Arabidopsis thaliana: one gene and its partner. The protein of the gene in region 2 interacts with the protein of the main gene of each other region in a biochemical or structural test. Each region holds a gene or a part of one and is shown on either strand. Other genes may lie near its edges.

What was found.
Region 1: the proteins of BI1 (region 2) and CAM7 interact in far-western blotting, tested with the Arabidopsis thaliana proteins (one study listed by BioGRID).

What each region holds. Positions count from the first base shown.
Region 1 is NC_003074.8:15,661,139-15,669,955, reverse strand, and holds CAM7 (calmodulin 7), read left to right. Parts: upstream 1-3,486; 5' UTR 3,487-3,600; coding exon 3,601-3,676; exon of another isoform or gene 3,677-4,322; intron 4,323-4,475; exon of another isoform or gene 4,476-4,963; coding exon 4,964-5,333; coding exon of another isoform or gene 5,334-5,337; exon of another isoform or gene 5,338-5,824; intron 5,825-6,569; coding exon 6,570-6,768; 3' UTR 6,769-6,956; downstream 6,957-8,817. Other genes in the region: GSTU27 (glutathione S-transferase tau 27), read right to left, coding at 8,172-8,528, 8,701-8,817. UniProt on the Arabidopsis thaliana protein: Calmodulin mediates the control of a large number of enzymes, ion channels and other proteins by Ca(2+). Among the enzymes to be stimulated by the calmodulin-Ca(2+) complex are a number of protein kinases and phosphatases. Activates MPK8 in vitro.
Region 2 is NC_003076.8:19,132,976-19,140,452, forward strand, and holds BI1 (BAX inhibitor 1), read left to right. Parts: upstream 1-2,976; 5' UTR 2,977-3,095; coding exon 3,096-3,209; intron 3,210-3,606; coding exon 3,607-3,750; intron 3,751-3,848; coding exon 3,849-3,940; intron 3,941-4,040; coding exon 4,041-4,227; intron 4,228-4,319; coding exon 4,320-4,475; intron 4,476-4,559; coding exon 4,560-4,610; 3' UTR 4,611-5,050; downstream 5,051-7,477. Other genes in the region: LIL3:2 (Chlorophyll A-B binding family protein), read right to left, coding at 1,243-1,496, 1,583-1,720, 1,879-2,263; AT5G47130 (Bax inhibitor-1 family protein), read left to right, coding at 6,042-6,101. UniProt on the Arabidopsis thaliana protein: Suppressor of apoptosis. Modulator of endoplasmic reticulum stress-mediated programmed cell death. Involved in methyl jasmonate-induced leaf senescence through regulating cytoplasmic calcium level.

The sequences.
Region 1 (8,817 bases), on a different chromosome or scaffold from region 2:
AATATTGATAAATTATTATATTACTGTGAATGTTGATATTACTTTACGATTTTGGCAGCAAATATCATTTTGTGAGTGAATTTGTTTTTGCAAAACAAAACTTTAGCGACAAATACAAATTTTAGGTTTTGGTGAAAAAACGTCGGTTTACGGTTTTGGTTGGAAAATATTGGTATACAGTAATATAAATAAGTATGTTCGAACGATACGCTGGTGACACTATGAGATTCGTCTCCCTGGTACAGATGTAATGTTCTATTGCACAACACTATTATTATGTTCTTTAAACGATGTGATACTTAATTATGAAAATGTAATTTGGATATCGACAGATAAGAGAGTCAAGGGCAAAGGTGATACTGGTAGCTAGAATGGCATGTTCTATTACACAACACTATTATTATTATTATGTTCTTTAAACGATGTGATACTATGATTATATTTTTGATTGGGAGTTTCAAATGGATGGCTTGATTCGCGTTATGGTATGATTACATTATGTATGCTCATCCATTCAAATTTTTTCTGAATAGTTCTCATAATGAAAAACGTTATTAATTAGGTCGCAGCCTCAAACTCAAATGTACACAAACGTACAAGACTTGGGTGAGAAAGACGCTAATTCTGGACTTTTGATCTAAAAAAACGTTATAGGAGTGGTCCACGATCATTTCATCTAGACATGGACATTGACGGGCCAGCTAAGAACTCCGTTAAGATTCATCTAGAGAAGCAGAGACTTCCACCTGGAAAATCAAGGAGAAAGAGTTACTTGAAGGTCAAGAAATATGTAGCCTGCAGGACTGATAAAGATGCTCAGATAAAGTTGAGCCTGTACGACCCTTACGAGTTCCATCTTGTGAACCCTAACCGGCAGTCTTAGTTAAGGAACTTGGCCGGTTACAAGCTCTTACCTAGTGGTAATGCTGCAAGTTTACTCGATAATGATGATCCGCCACATATTAGAGGGGCTTTCACAAACAATCAGGAACTCGGTTTAAGCTCGGTTGGTTTGACAGGTTCAACAAACTTGATGTATAATCGATGAAAGTTTTTGGTTTAAATATAGGTGACTCGGTATAACCGGTCAGAGAAATGGGCTGGAGGGCTTTTGATGTACCAGAACCGTGGTGAAGATACGCCACAGGTTTGGTCAGACAGGTACCCACTTAAGTAGTAAATTGCTACTGAATTGGTTAATTGACTAAAAGCTTTTACAAGTCATGTTACTTTGTATACTTAAACAAGCTAAAATTAAATTTCTTTTTCATCCTTCTGGAACCACCATAAGGTCATTATGGCCAGAAATGTATGATCTTTGGTGATTTTTATTTATCCAGCGTTATAAATTATCCACCCATTAAGAAAGAACAAATTGATTCACATGAAATCGTTAGACAATAATAAGGATAGATCAAAGCCATCCTTCGACTAAAAAACCCTTTATACCTTCAACATACCTATAACGAAGGGAAGTCAATCATAACAAAAAGAACAGAATGATCCATACCAAAAAGAAGCTCTATGATATAATACTAAGAAAAAGCAAACACCTTAACCTCAACGCAATAATCTACCATCAAAACAATAACGGGAACAAACAATAGATCAAAGCTATATATCCGGCAAGTCAAAATTCCTCTGCATTTCTCGCATTTCACACATACCTATTCAAAAAGAGCTACCATCACAAACATAAAAAAAAGTCAGAGAAGCCTCCAACAATAAGAAGTCAGAATACAAAGGGAAACATATAACTGCACTGTTTATTAACAATTGTCTTGTGAATTCGTGTTATACCGTTACTTAATAACAATTATAAACTATAAAATATAATTTTTCTTTAAATAGATACAAGTTGTAAACCTTAATATATACTAACGTTAAAATCGCCTAGACCAACGTTTGGACATCAATATAGAATATCAGGTTACATCAATGTATCAAATTCAATATGAAATATCAAGATACCATAACAATAATACAGAAATATCAAATTCAATATGAAAATCTGATTTTTGCTTTACTATTAGCAGAAAATTCATGATCTGGACATAAGTAGTTAGTAGATTAGCCTAAGTTAGTAAAAATTAAGTTACAAACCTAAAAAACAAATTTGTCACAAAACTAGAATTTTTTTATTTTTTGGAATACGGGTTAAATCTTTAATTTATTATTTTTAGCACCACTTATCAAATCAGTCTGATTAGAAAAGATTATATAAAATCAAAAAATATTTTGTGGTATAGTGCTACTTAATAATAATTGTAAACTATAAAAATAATTGATGACAATTATATAAATTTTTTAAAAATCGTAAAATCAACGCAATTGGCGGGAAATTTTTCTACAAAAATTTTCTACTAAATTACGGAAAAACCGTAAAATCATTCTCAATCGTCTACTAATATTTATTGTCTAACCATTTTCTTTCTTGTGTTATAATTTTGAAATGTGATAAAATAAAGAGAATTTATAATAAATGATTATAGATTTGAAAAGAATGTACAAACTAACCTTGAGTCACAGTAGCTTGTCGGAAACATATTGGAGAACACATGTAATTACATAAATATCCTTTGTAACATGTTTTTTTTCCGAAATACATGCGATAACATAATATCTCTTTTTATCTTGTTATTTTCTCTTATTACATAGTATTTATAAAAAGCACATGGTATTTTATGGAAAAAACATTCTATTCAGTTTAATATCTCTTTTTATCATGATATTTTGTAGTAATACACATTTTTTATTAAGATCACACGTGATTTCTTTAAAAATATATTCTTATTTTTTAGTAATACACGGTTTTATTAAAATCACATATAAATTTTTTTTAAGGATTATGTTCATGTAAGAAAATTTCATAATAATGTTTTTTCTTAAAAATTCATGACGTTTTTTTAAATAGCATGTTTTAAAACTAAATATAACATGTGAAATTTTAATGTTACATGTTATTTTGAAAAATTACACGAATGTGTTTCGTTTACAGTTCATCTTACAACAAATGAAAGGTAGCTTTGTTATTTCATTTCTTCCGACAACATGGGTCCATGGTTATTTTGTAACAAAAAACTTTCTCTCTACTAGTTTCTTAATTTGTATGTTTTATTTGGTTATCTAATATTACCCTAAAATAAACTTAGCAAATAGAAAATGAATTTTATCAAATTGCCTACACCAATGTTTGGATATCAATGTATAATATCAGGTTACATCAATATATATCATACCAAGATACCATAACAATAATACAAAAATATCAAATTCAAAACTATTAGCAGAAAGTTCATGATCTGGACATAAGTAGTTAGTAGATTAGCCTAAAATAGTAAAAACTAAGTTGCAAACCTAAAAAACAAATTTCTCCCAAAACTAGAATTTCTTAATTTTTTGGTCTGAGAAATTAAAAGAGAAAGACGTTTAGGAGGGCAAAATCGTCAATTCAAAAATACCTCATTTTACCTGTAGCTGGTGAGATCTCATTTTATAAAGGAGAAGGAACATTCACTCTCACGCGCTTCAACTTTCTCCAGAAACAAGAAAATATCACAGCAAAAATTTTCTCGAGAAAATCCGAAGAAGACAAAAAAAATGGCGGATCAGCTAACCGATGACCAGATCTCCGAGTTCAAGGAAGCTTTTAGCCTATTCGACAAAGACGGAGATGGTCTCTTCTTCTTCTTCTTCTTCTTCTTCTTCTCTCAGATCTCTTTCTCTTGTCGTTTTTTTTTTAGATTTCTTCGCGGTGATCGTGAATCTCTGCACATTTCGTTTATTGTTTCATGTGATTTGAAGAACGATCTCGTTTTGATTCGTTCAGTCTTGCTCACATCTCCAGAGTGTTTAGGGTTGATTTTTGCTTCTATAGAAGGATCTAGAATATGTAGAATCTCCTTTAGTATATTCGTTGATGATTACTAAGATTTGTAGTTATGGAATCTTGTTTAATTAGGTTATTCATCATATTCTAGATCCTACATTGGAATCGTACATTGGAATCTAGTTGTTTCTCTGTGATTTACTATGATTCTGAACAAATCCTGTGATTATAATCATGCGGATTTGTACGTTCTCACAAAATTTAGTGGCATTGTGGTTTTAAGATTCAATTGTAACATGTAGATTTATCTGCAGATGTTTATACTCAAAATCTAAAAAACGAAATTTGGTTTATTGTGTGATGTTGCCAAATAGAAAAATAGAGAAAGAAGTTGATAATATCATCTCTGTTGTTCTTCTTTACAATAGTTGAGAACTTGCAACGGTGTGCATTTTGTGATGCTTATTGGCAATACCATCATATTTAGAACATTGTGCATTTCCTGGCCTTTGATTAGAAAGAGGCTTTAAATGTTGCTTGGTGGTTTGTGTGCAAAAAGTTTCTTTGTTAACTTGGTAGATGTTTCCCGAACAATCAGTTTTACTTGTCGTATACTATGATTGGGGTTTAAGAGTATTTTACTAAGAGCATTTTTGAGCTTTCTTGTGAGAATAGGTGCATTTCCTGGCCTTTGATTACTAAGAGAATAACATCATATTTAGAACATTGTGCATTTCCTGGCCTTTGATTACTAAGAGAATACCATCATATTTAGAACATTGTGCATTTCCTGGCCTTTGATTAGAAAGAGGCTTTAAATGTTGCTTGGTGGTTTGTGTGCAAGAAGTTTCTTTGTTAACTTGGTAGATGATTTCCGAACAATCAGTTTTACTTGTCGAATCGTCGTCCTTTTAAATGAGATATACTATGATTGGGGTTAGTAGTGTAAGGATATTTTACTAAGAGCATTTTTGAGCTTTCTTGCATTTGAAAACTTGACATATTACTTGTGTTTAAGATAATTGGTTTATATATCTTCCTGATCTTGTTGACAATATTAGTGTTCATAAAGTTATACTCGGAACTCTTGCGTTACAAAATCTGAAGTTGTGTCCAATTTTGGTTTGATTGCAGGTTGTATCACCACAAAGGAGCTTGGGACTGTGATGAGATCACTTGGGCAGAACCCGACAGAAGCCGAGCTCCAGGACATGATCAACGAAGTGGATGCAGACGGGAACGGGACAATAGATTTCCCAGAGTTCCTGAACCTAATGGCACGTAAGATGAAAGACACTGATTCAGAGGAAGAGCTTAAGGAAGCCTTCAGGGTTTTTGACAAGGACCAGAACGGTTTCATCTCGGCGGCTGAGCTTCGTCACGTGATGACAAATCTTGGGGAGAAGTTGACGGATGAGGAAGTCGATGAGATGATCCGAGAGGCTGACGTCGATGGTGATGGTCAGATCAACTATGAAGAGTTCGTCAAAGTCATGATGGCAAAGTGAGATTCTTCTTATCCCTCGAAATCCTAAGCATGTTTTTCTTTTACATCTTTAAAACTGAGAAAAGTAATTTATTGAACCAAAAGAAACAGAGAGATTTGCTTCCTTGTTTGTTTTGTTGATCGTGATTTTTTGGTAACGTTGCTTCTTCTTTGCCTTTTGGTTTTGTTATTGTCCGTGACGTTTGAACTCATAATTTGCTTTAGTCTCTCGAGTCATGACCACTTGATGATGTTATTTTCTCTTTTCTCTAAAATATTGCAGTTTATTGAGATCGACTAATTATATCCATTACGTGGAGAAATAATTGCTTACTAGTTGCAAAAACGTGCACTGTAATTGTTTAAAATTTAGTGTCTTTGCAAGAACAAAGTAGTAGTAAAAGTTCTTGGGATCAAACATTTTCTATTTCAAATACCCACTTAAGGCCCAATGGTATGGTTGATAAGGCTGTTAAGGTTGTGAGGGTTTATTAGCTGATGAAGGCCTATCTTGTGAGTAATAGTACTGTCAAACTACTCCATCTTGTGTGGTTCTCCCCTAGATTATATTTGAAAAAAAACTAATTTATCTACGTATAGACATTTTTCTTACTATAACATTAGCTCTAATTTGAATTTGATATTTGGATTTATAATACACATAAACGTATATAATAGTTTGTTCTATATGTTTTTTATTTAATTTTATTTTATATGTTTATTTAATTATAGATATAAATTTTCCTCAATTGTTTAATTTTTTTCTATATTAAAATTGAATTATATTTTATTTTATGCAAAATCAACTTTTAGTATTTACAAGTTAGTCATTAAAGTTATATTTATAACAATTATTATAATTTCCACTATACTAGTCATAGACTCATAGTTCTAGTATTAGTATCAACTATATACTAATAGAACCATAAATTTGTTTGTTTTTTGTTTTTTTAATAAATCTTATCGACTGATCCGGTCGGCCCGTATAAACTATAAGTTTGTTTTTATAGAGTTTTTCTAATTTAGTTATTGTCAATTTAACATTCAAGCTCATTAAGTTTTCTTTAGTAATATGTAAGACTCTTTTTATGCAATTCAGTTCATATATCTCTCTTCTCTTTTTTTTTTTTTTGTGACGAACTAAGAAACAAAAAAGAATTGACATTTTACAGTTAATTCTATTATCTTCTTCATTTCTAAACCCCAAAGAAAGAAGGAACCAACTACTCGGTTTTTATTGTTTCTTGTTCTCAGTCATGTTTGGGAATGCGCAAGTAAATTGATAAAGAAAAGGAAGAAGAAGAAGAAGAAAAAGAAAAAGAAGAAGACCAAAAATGCTAAAAGGAATGAGAAAGAATTGATCCAGCATAACCCCTCACAGCCCGAGTCACATCGCGTTCCTAGCCGTTTGAATCTCCTCTGCCACCGCTCTCATTCTTGCTCGATTCTATAGCTCACTGTACTTGCTGATCAAGAACTAACTTAAAACAATGAAGACGAAGAATAGTGAAAGCTAATAGTAGATAACTTGCATATATCGAGGGATTGTTTAAAAAACATAATAATAACCTTGTATATAGGCTACGTAATGGCATAAAGAAAAGATTGGTTGGTGGATTACCATGCGAGCCGCTGGTAGAGGACTAACAATTATGTACTTGGATTCAAACCATTTAGTTTAGTCCTAAGAAAAAAAATTAAGTTACCAAGTTTATCTCTAGGAATTTAGAATTTTAACAGTTTTATAGATTTATATTCATCTTGTAAACGATAAACGATAAACAAAACCAGTAGTGTCTCCAACCGCCGAAATGTTAACAATTAAACGATAAACATAGATTTTTTTTTCTATGATCAATTTTAGAAAAATAAAATTTACAAACAAGTATTTTAATTATTAAACTTTGAGAGAATGAAATGTAATAAAGAAAAGAAAAAAAAATTAGAAAATTTTTTTTGACCCACGTCTCCCTCTCAAATGCTCTCTTTCTCTTTATTTAAATCTGTTACACCTCTCTTTCTCTCTCACCAAACAAAAACTTTTTCGAATATTTTAGTAATTATAAATAGTAATTGTACTACTTCTCCAATTAAGTTACGGAAATGTACTGTTTTCTAAACAAACTCAAAGAAAAAGGTTAAAAAAATTAAAGAAACAAAAACTATAACACACTAAACAGTCTTGTAACAACTGAGAGATAAAAGTAGAAAAACAAATGAGTTAAAATCTATCAAAATGTTTAACCATATATAATGTCATGATAATATCTCGTAAGTCACTCGCATGTAATATCAACATCATCTTTACTGTCATGGAAGATTTTATTGCTCAACACTTAGTGACCAAGACTTAATATACTATTGCTGCTACTCCATATTGTAGATTTTATTATTCTTGAATGGTTTTTTGTTTAAAACTAGAAAAAGACTGGACAAGTCTTCATTACGAGAATCAGTGTGTTGGTGATGATGTATTGGATTATGTTCCCATTTCCTTCGCATCGAAAGACGATATGGCAAAATAAAGATCGAGAGTAATGGTGTTTATATACCATTCCACAAGAAACTACATCAAGAATTAAGTTAAACTATAGTAAGATATATAATTGAATTCTTTACCAAATATCGACATTGTTATATAATTGAATAACATAGGAATTTCTAAAAGTTTTCCATCAACATAGGATAATAATAATAAAAATAACTTATGATATATCAAGAACAACAAACCCATTTTATTTCAATTATAATATCAAATGAAAAATAAATTTTTTCACACCAACTACTTCCTTAAGCATTACAACATTTCTTATTATTTTGGTTAACTTACATAAATAGAGCATATGATTTAGACTATCAATAACCATAGAAAAACTCATGGACCTTTATGATCTGAGTGACTCGATCAAATATCTTCAGCGGGTCAGGTAAAGATTTCGAGATAGCGGGTCGGGTTAAGCATTTACGGATCCAGTCCATTAGCTTGGGAGTGTGGTCCTCGACACTAAAACCACCAATAGTCTCCCATGTGTGGAACCAAGGGTAGTAGGAGATGAGAACCAAGTCCACCATCGAAACGTTGTCGTTTCCTCCGAAGTAGACCTTATCTCCAAGCTCTCTTTCTAACACTTTCAATATCTCTATGAACTCTTGTTTCGCTTCTTCTTGTTCTTTGCCCCTCTTTGTCCACGTTCTTCTTCCAGCGTCAAAAACCTGTTTATATTTTTGTATATGAATCACAATGAAATTGAACTTTTAGTCTCCTTTCGTTGAACTTTTTATATACACACCATAACATTTAATATTATGAAGTATTTAGTAGATTGTATTTGTTATTCTTAAGTATCGTCCAAAAATGTAACGTTTTAAGAAAGTCTAGTAGTACCTTTTTGTCAATCAAATCAGCCCAAAATCTACACTGTGACTTCTGATAAGGATCAGAAGGTAGTAGACGGAGAGTCTTATCGTCTTTCCAGACCTCATCGATGTATTCGACTATGAT
Region 2 (7,477 bases):
CACGTAGGACAAACAAAAATCCAATAGTATAAAGGCGGTCTAAATAAGAATTATGGATTAACATAATTACTTTTATATAAACCATAAGACATGATCTAATCATGTATATTATCAAATTTTGAAACTAATTAAGTACGTACGCCATCCAACAATCCAATAATGTAAACTATATAATGTTCGCCTAAAAAAAAGAAATGGATTAGCATATCCATAAGACATGGCCAAATCATGCATGTTACGTATATTAAATTTGAAACTGGGATCCTGGCTCTAGTAAGAGTGGTTTATAATTTTATATTGGGTTTAGAATTCCAAATTAAATGGTCAAATTCTTTCATTCCAATACAAGCAGAAACTTTTATGATAGTAAAAAGATTATGAGAAGACTTATGAGGTGTTAAGAAAGTGGGAGATGTATTATGAGGAGGAGAGATTATGAGTATAGTAAAAAGATTATGAGAAAAAAGATTATGACAATAGTAAACAAGAAGGTCCATACAGTATCCATGTTTTTCAAGAAAGTGGGAGATGCCAAAGTCCTGGACCTAATATTTTTGTTTTAAGTTTTGATAACTAACTAATTTTTTTTAAATCAGACACAAAAATAAACATAGACTGTTGATATTTTAGAAAATTAAGATCTATTAAAAAAATATTGTATTTTCTTATAGATAAACAAAAAAAACTTTTTTTTTACTAAAAGACTAATATCAAACTGTCCTAAGGTCCCTACTAATTTTGGGCCGGTGGTCCTGACAAGTGACAACAGTTTAATGGTCCATTTTGTACTTAAAATTGAGTCAAATTAGTTGCGGCAATAAGAGCAGAGCAGTAATGTGTTACACCCTTAAAGGACGTTAGTACTGAAGCCCAAATTCTTTGGAGGTTGGTTGGTTGGTTGATGAAGTGCGGTTTTGATTAATTCACAAATATGACTTACTTGATGACTTTTCACAAACATCCATCTGGAAACGCTACTATTTGATGATGTATTAACAGTAGAAAGCATATTAAAAAAAATAAAATCTCTTATTGATTAAATTATCAAGCGTCAAAACGAAATAGGTCTGCTTTACAAGTCAAAGACCTTCGATACATTATCTTTGAGACTACTTCATAGAGATTTTTAAAGCAGAAAGATTACAAAATCTGAAGATCAGTAGTTCAGTAGAGATAAACTTTCACTGATTCACAGATTATTGCATAACAAAAAAAGGAAAATGAAAGATTGTAAGAACTTGTTCACTTCTTTGAAGAAACTGTTGATGAATCTGGCTCTTTCCATGCAGCTTGCCATTGTTTGTCATATAACGTAGTCTCATCGAACAGATCCTTAAGTTTGTCTAAATCTTCATTCTTACGGATGAAGAGAACTCCAGCTACAGCCACAAACAAGAGTGTTTTGCAGAAGAAATTTCCCATTTGATCAACAAGTCCTACTCCGGTAAGACTATCAACAAAGTAAGCCATGAAGAACCCTATCATCGCAGCACGACCTACACCACCAAGACAACAACTTAGATGCACAAAATGTTAAGTGTACTATATCTAAGTGTTAGATCATAAGTGTTTTGAAAATCACCATTGAGAAGTTCAGCTTCAGGTAGATGGTATCTCTTCATCCATGCCCACCATGGAATAATCGAAGTATCGAAGACAACAAGCTCGTCGTTACTCGTTGTTTCCGGGTTATCTTCAAGCCATTTTCTCCTCTTTGCCTCTATAAAAATACATAATCAACACATTTACACAACAAACACTCCTCTTCTTACACACCACTATAAGAAACCAAAGCAGAATCTTCCTAATAACAAAGCATAGACATATATCAAGTATTCAAAGAATCTGTACTGAACTGAAGTTTTAAAAGGATCTAACCAGAAACGATAACAGAATCCCAATCAGTTTTGCCATCTTTCTCGAACTGTTTCAGATCCCAAGTTCCATTAACCCACTTCGCATTCTGATATTTGATTACCGTCTCAGTACTCGAATCAGTCGCTTCACCTCCAACGGCGCCGTTTTCAGAAGCGGAGGAGCTTTCGGCTGGAGATTTAACTGGAACTTCCTCTACAGCCACAGAAGCAGGCTTCGGAATCTCCACGACGGGGGAAGTCGTACCATTGTCGGAGGAAGCTCTAGGGACGGAGATTAGAGAGAAACGCTTGGTGGAGAGAAGAGAGGTTGAGATCTTGGGGATGAGATTAGGGTTCTGAAGTGAGGAAGAGATCGGCGGAGAGAATAACGCCATGGATATAGACATTTTTTTGTTAAGATCTCTCTCTCTCTCTCTCTCTCTCTTTGTCTCTCTCGATCTCCTCTGCTCTGAGTTTTTTTTTTTTTTGCAGAGTTAGTTTGAATGTGTGGTTTGAAATGAGCTATGAAGGAAGTGAAAGAGATGTTGTTATCGTTAGAAACTTGGATTGTATGTCGTTTTCCTTTTTTAATTCAGTTTAAGGAAGAAACTACGTGATGTTTTCTGTAAGCAAAAATAGAAAGATAAACGAGACTGTTAATGGGCTTTGCGATCAGCCCATATAGAACTAGAATTCAAAACCTGACATTTAACCATACTCTCGACCCATGATTTACGAATTGACTAGACGATATGAAAATGTCCTTGGTCTTTTCTTTATTAGTTTGTTAAACTTTTGATGCAACTGAAAATAATAGAGAAAGATTATAGAAAAGTCTTTGTAAATTAATAAATACTGTTATCCAAAATACTTTATCACAAAACTAAAACAAATTTATTCCTAAGCTTAAACAATAATATGTAAACTAAGTGAAAAATCCACGTGGATGATTCTTATTGGTTAGATGACGATTTAGATATTTCATTTGCTTCGCGGCAAAGTTTCAACTCATTACGACGACGACGATCTCAACGTTCAAGAAGTTTCCAGAACTACCCTTCTCCGTGTTTAATGCCCCTACACGTGTAGCGAATGCGTAATAACTACACATAAGCAGTAAGGGTATTATTGTCAATTTAGTCCCCAATCATAAGGCCCATTATAAATAACGAAAGTCTTTATTTTCTAACTAATATTTTCATTAATCGATTCTCAAAGTCAAGCAAAAAAAACGAAACAATGGATGCGTTCTCTTCCTTCTTCGATTCTCAACCTGGTAGCAGAAGCTGGAGCTATGATTCTCTTAAAAACTTCCGTCAGATTTCTCCAGCCGTTCAGAATCATCTTAAACGGGTAAGTTTCTTCGCCGCCGATGTCTATTCATATCACACACCAAACCGCGATGTCTAGATTAGAGTCGATAGATTGAGATTCGTTTCGTTTTCGTGCTATTGATCGCTCTATGTTTCTATATTTCATCTAATTTCTATGATTTGGTTTCCGTTGAACGAATCGTTGCGATCGTACTTTATCTAGGGTTTCTAATTGGGTCTTTCCATGATTTAGTTTGTTGATACTTACTTGATTATGATTCTGTGGAGATCTTTCGTTATACTTTACTCTGCTTATTATTGTTAAGATCCTCTTGTTCATTTGTCATGTTCCATTTGCAGAAGGGAATGTGATTTGTATACTCACTCATGTTACAAATGCTCATTGGTTCTTATTATTTGTGGTGGAATCTTTGTAGGTTTATTTGACCTTATGTTGTGCTCTTGTGGCGTCTGCCTTTGGAGCTTACCTCCATGTGCTCTGGAATATCGGCGGTATTCTTACAACGATTGGATGTATTGGAACTATGATTTGGCTCCTTTCATGTCCTCCTTATGAACACGTACGTGGGCTCGATTTACCCAACCCAATAGTGAATTGGCTGCTTTCTTATTGTACTAAAGTTTCGTTTTCCTGACATTGTTGTTTGTTTTGATGCAGCAAAAAAGGCTTTCTCTTCTGTTTGTGTCTGCTGTTCTTGAAGGTGCTTCTGTTGGCCCCTTGATCAAAGTGGCAATTGATGTTGACCCAAGGTGTGTTATGGTTATGCAATTTGATTCTTGTTGTTCAATGTTAATTTTCTGTTAGACTATTCTAGGAGCTGACCTTTATATCTTTCTTTTGGTTCTCCAGCATCCTTATCACTGCATTTGTTGGAACTGCGATAGCGTTTGTCTGTTTCTCAGCAGCAGCAATGTTAGCAAGACGCAGGGAGTATCTCTACCTTGGAGGACTGCTTTCATCTGGCTTGTCTATGCTAATGTGGCTCCAGTTTGCCTCTTCAATCTTTGGTGGCTCTGCATCTATCTTTAAGTTTGAGGTAAACCGAATGCCTCTGTTTTAGAATGATCTGTTCTTTGTCTTACTTTCTCAGACATCTCACCATTGTTATGAATACGTCTCTGGTTGCAGTTGTACTTTGGACTTTTGATCTTTGTGGGATACATGGTGGTGGACACACAAGAGATTATAGAAAAGGCACACCTCGGTGACATGGACTATGTAAAACATTCGTTGACCCTTTTCACTGACTTTGTAGCTGTGTTTGTTCGGATTCTCATCATAATGGTAAGTTCATTTGTCGCTGGTATAAGAAAATGGTACACTTTATTTGTTAGTAAACCGTCATTGACGGACTCTTTTGTTATGCAGTTGAAGAACTCAGCAGATAAAGAAGAGAAGAAGAAGAAAAGGAGAAACTGAGGGGATGTAAAGTAAATTTAACTTTATGGTTGTTATCGTGTGTGGCCACTTTGAAGATATTACTTGTTAGCACTCTCTATTGGTGACCAGACATGTTTCCACTAAAAAGGATCTGCTTGTTTCACTTCTGCACAAGTACCATCTTCAGATTGTAAATGACTCGAGTGTTGTTCTTCTTTTCATAAACTTTTGTTCTTTAAGAGTTTGGTTCTACTGATTGCATCTTACCAAGCTAAGAATAATGTAGGAAAATGATAATCCTGTTTAAATTTTCTAAAATGTGTGCATTTCAGATTCTCACAGTTGCAACATTTGCTATTGCTTGGAAGTTGTAATCGAAAAATAACTTGCAATTTCCATGATAAGTGTGTAAAAACCTGCATTCTCGTGAAACGTGGATTTGAAAATTGCAAATAAATGGCGTTTAGCCTTTTGTCAAACGTCTGGTTGGAGCTTTTTGTCAAAATTTGTTCCCAATAGAATGTTGTGGTACGGCAAATGGCAAGGAATATACATCAGATTTTCCTTCTCACTTTAAAAACGACGTTATGTTTTGCATAGAGTCTAGACCTCGGAGCTCATGACCCGATCTTAAGTTTGAATCCATCCGACAAACCGACGATGGAGACAATACTAGTTATATACTTGCATATGTTCTGACTTCTGGTCCAAGGCAATCTAGGATTAGCACATTAACGTGTGTAGCATTTTCAATTGGGTTTTTGATACACTCCTTTTGCAATCCATGATAACATGATTGCAACTTGCAAAAGGATCTAAAAGAAAAGAAAATTAAAAATCACTGGCCAGAAATGCAAAACATGAACCAACCCCTAGAAGTTCTGTTAATACTTAATAGATGTAACAGAAGGAAATGAAGCCAAAAACGAGAACAAAATATTTGAATAAAACAATTACATCTCTGTTTTTTCTTTGTTTGATTTTTTAAAAGAACTAGGGAAATTGGAACCGTAAATTCTTGCATTAGTTCCTTTTTTTTTCTAGGAAACAGCAAGGAACTACTCTGGTCAAGAGATATTTGATCATATGACATTGGATTTGGGTTCTTCATTCCGGTTTGCTCGTTAACCAACGTTGGTTTGCAATTTGACCAGTTGCTGACTCATCTCTTTCAAGATATTTCATTTGCTTCTCGACAAAACAACTCCAACAATAACCTTGAAAAATCTTGAAGTGGATGGCTCTTAAAGGTTCGTTTCGTGGAAAATCAAATTTGCTTTTTTTGCGGCCAAATTTCAACTCATGCAATGCGACATCGACATAGGTCACAAAGGGTATTATTGTCTAACAAAAGACTCGTTACTCTCTCAAACAAAGAAAACACTTGTTTTTCTTCGTTCTCCATTATACTTGTTTCACTATTATACTTGTTTCACTCCATAAAAATCTTACCATTAAAAGAAACAGATCATGGACGGGCTTAAAGACTTCAGTCGGATCTCTCCGGCGATTCAGAGTCATCTTATGCGGGTAATCTCTTCGTTAATACTTCCTCTAGCACGAACAGTGGTTTCGTGGTTCGAGACGTGAGATCCGTTTCGTTTTCTTTAGTTGTTGTTTCGATTACATTTCTGTTCTTTAAGGTTTGTTTTGCTTTGTTCTTTTTTTTTTCTTTTTGTGGAGAAGGAAACTTAGAAAGATAGTGAAGAGGGAATTAGAGAGTTTTTTTATAATCTTGTGATTAGTTTTTCATATTCTTGTAAAGTATCTCAAACAATTTCTATCTTTTGATAATATTTTTCATGACTTTTATGACTTTATTTTGTCATGAAAAAAAATGTAGAAAGTTATAAACCAATAACATAATAATTTAATTCATTACAATGAGAGATTCTTTTATTTTAATTGAATAACATAAAAGATTTACTCACTTTATAAAAGTATGCATCTAATAGCTCCAGATTTATGAAGATTTTAGATTATTTTTTACAAATCTTAAATAAATAACACAAAATTTTAACAAACTTTAAAATTTTTTAATTGAATAGCAACATATTCTACATGACATTTTAAGTCACTAAAACTCTTTTGAAATCATAAACCAATAACACCCTATTAGTTTAGTTTCTTATTTATTTAAGCTTTCTTTATACGTTTATATGAAAAAATTATTATTCAAATCTTTACTTCTCTCTGTTTGAATATGGATTCTCAAAAACCTGAGAGCTAGAATTACGCTAAGAGAGTGTTGTCAGTATTATGACTATACAATTAAATGTAGTTTTCAAAAAGAAAATTATAAAAAATGTATCTATATTTTTCTCTTTTTGTGATTAACGACTATTAATTAAGAATTCTATATTTATCCTAAATACAGATCCTTAATCTCAAAGTTAAATGGTAAAAGGTAACTTCCCAATTCCATAATTAAAGTAAACACATGAAACAATAGATTATACAATAATTTTAACGGTAGGTTTTTCTATTCCAAAAGATGAATCACAGATTGTTAGATGCTTTTCAAGAGTAAAATCTATTTCTTTTTTGACCACTTTATAAATCAAGGGATCTAGAACATATTTTCGAGAAAATGTTTCTCAATTTGCAATCTCATTGCCTCCTGAACCACACTTTTGAATTTTCTACGCTTATCCTTTGATGAGCCGCCTTCAAATCAAGATTTCCCTTCTTCAAACTCCCTCTTCTGTGACATCTTTCAGATACACACAAGAGCCGTTGAAATACCATTTACATAAACTTTTATGTGTTGGGTTGTTTTTGTACACCAAATGAACCATGAAGAGATTTTTAGCAAAAATAGAGTCTATCTCAAACTATTGTATTATATTTTTATAAGATGAACTTGTTGATAGAAATAGAGGTTGCATTTTTTGGCAATCCTACGT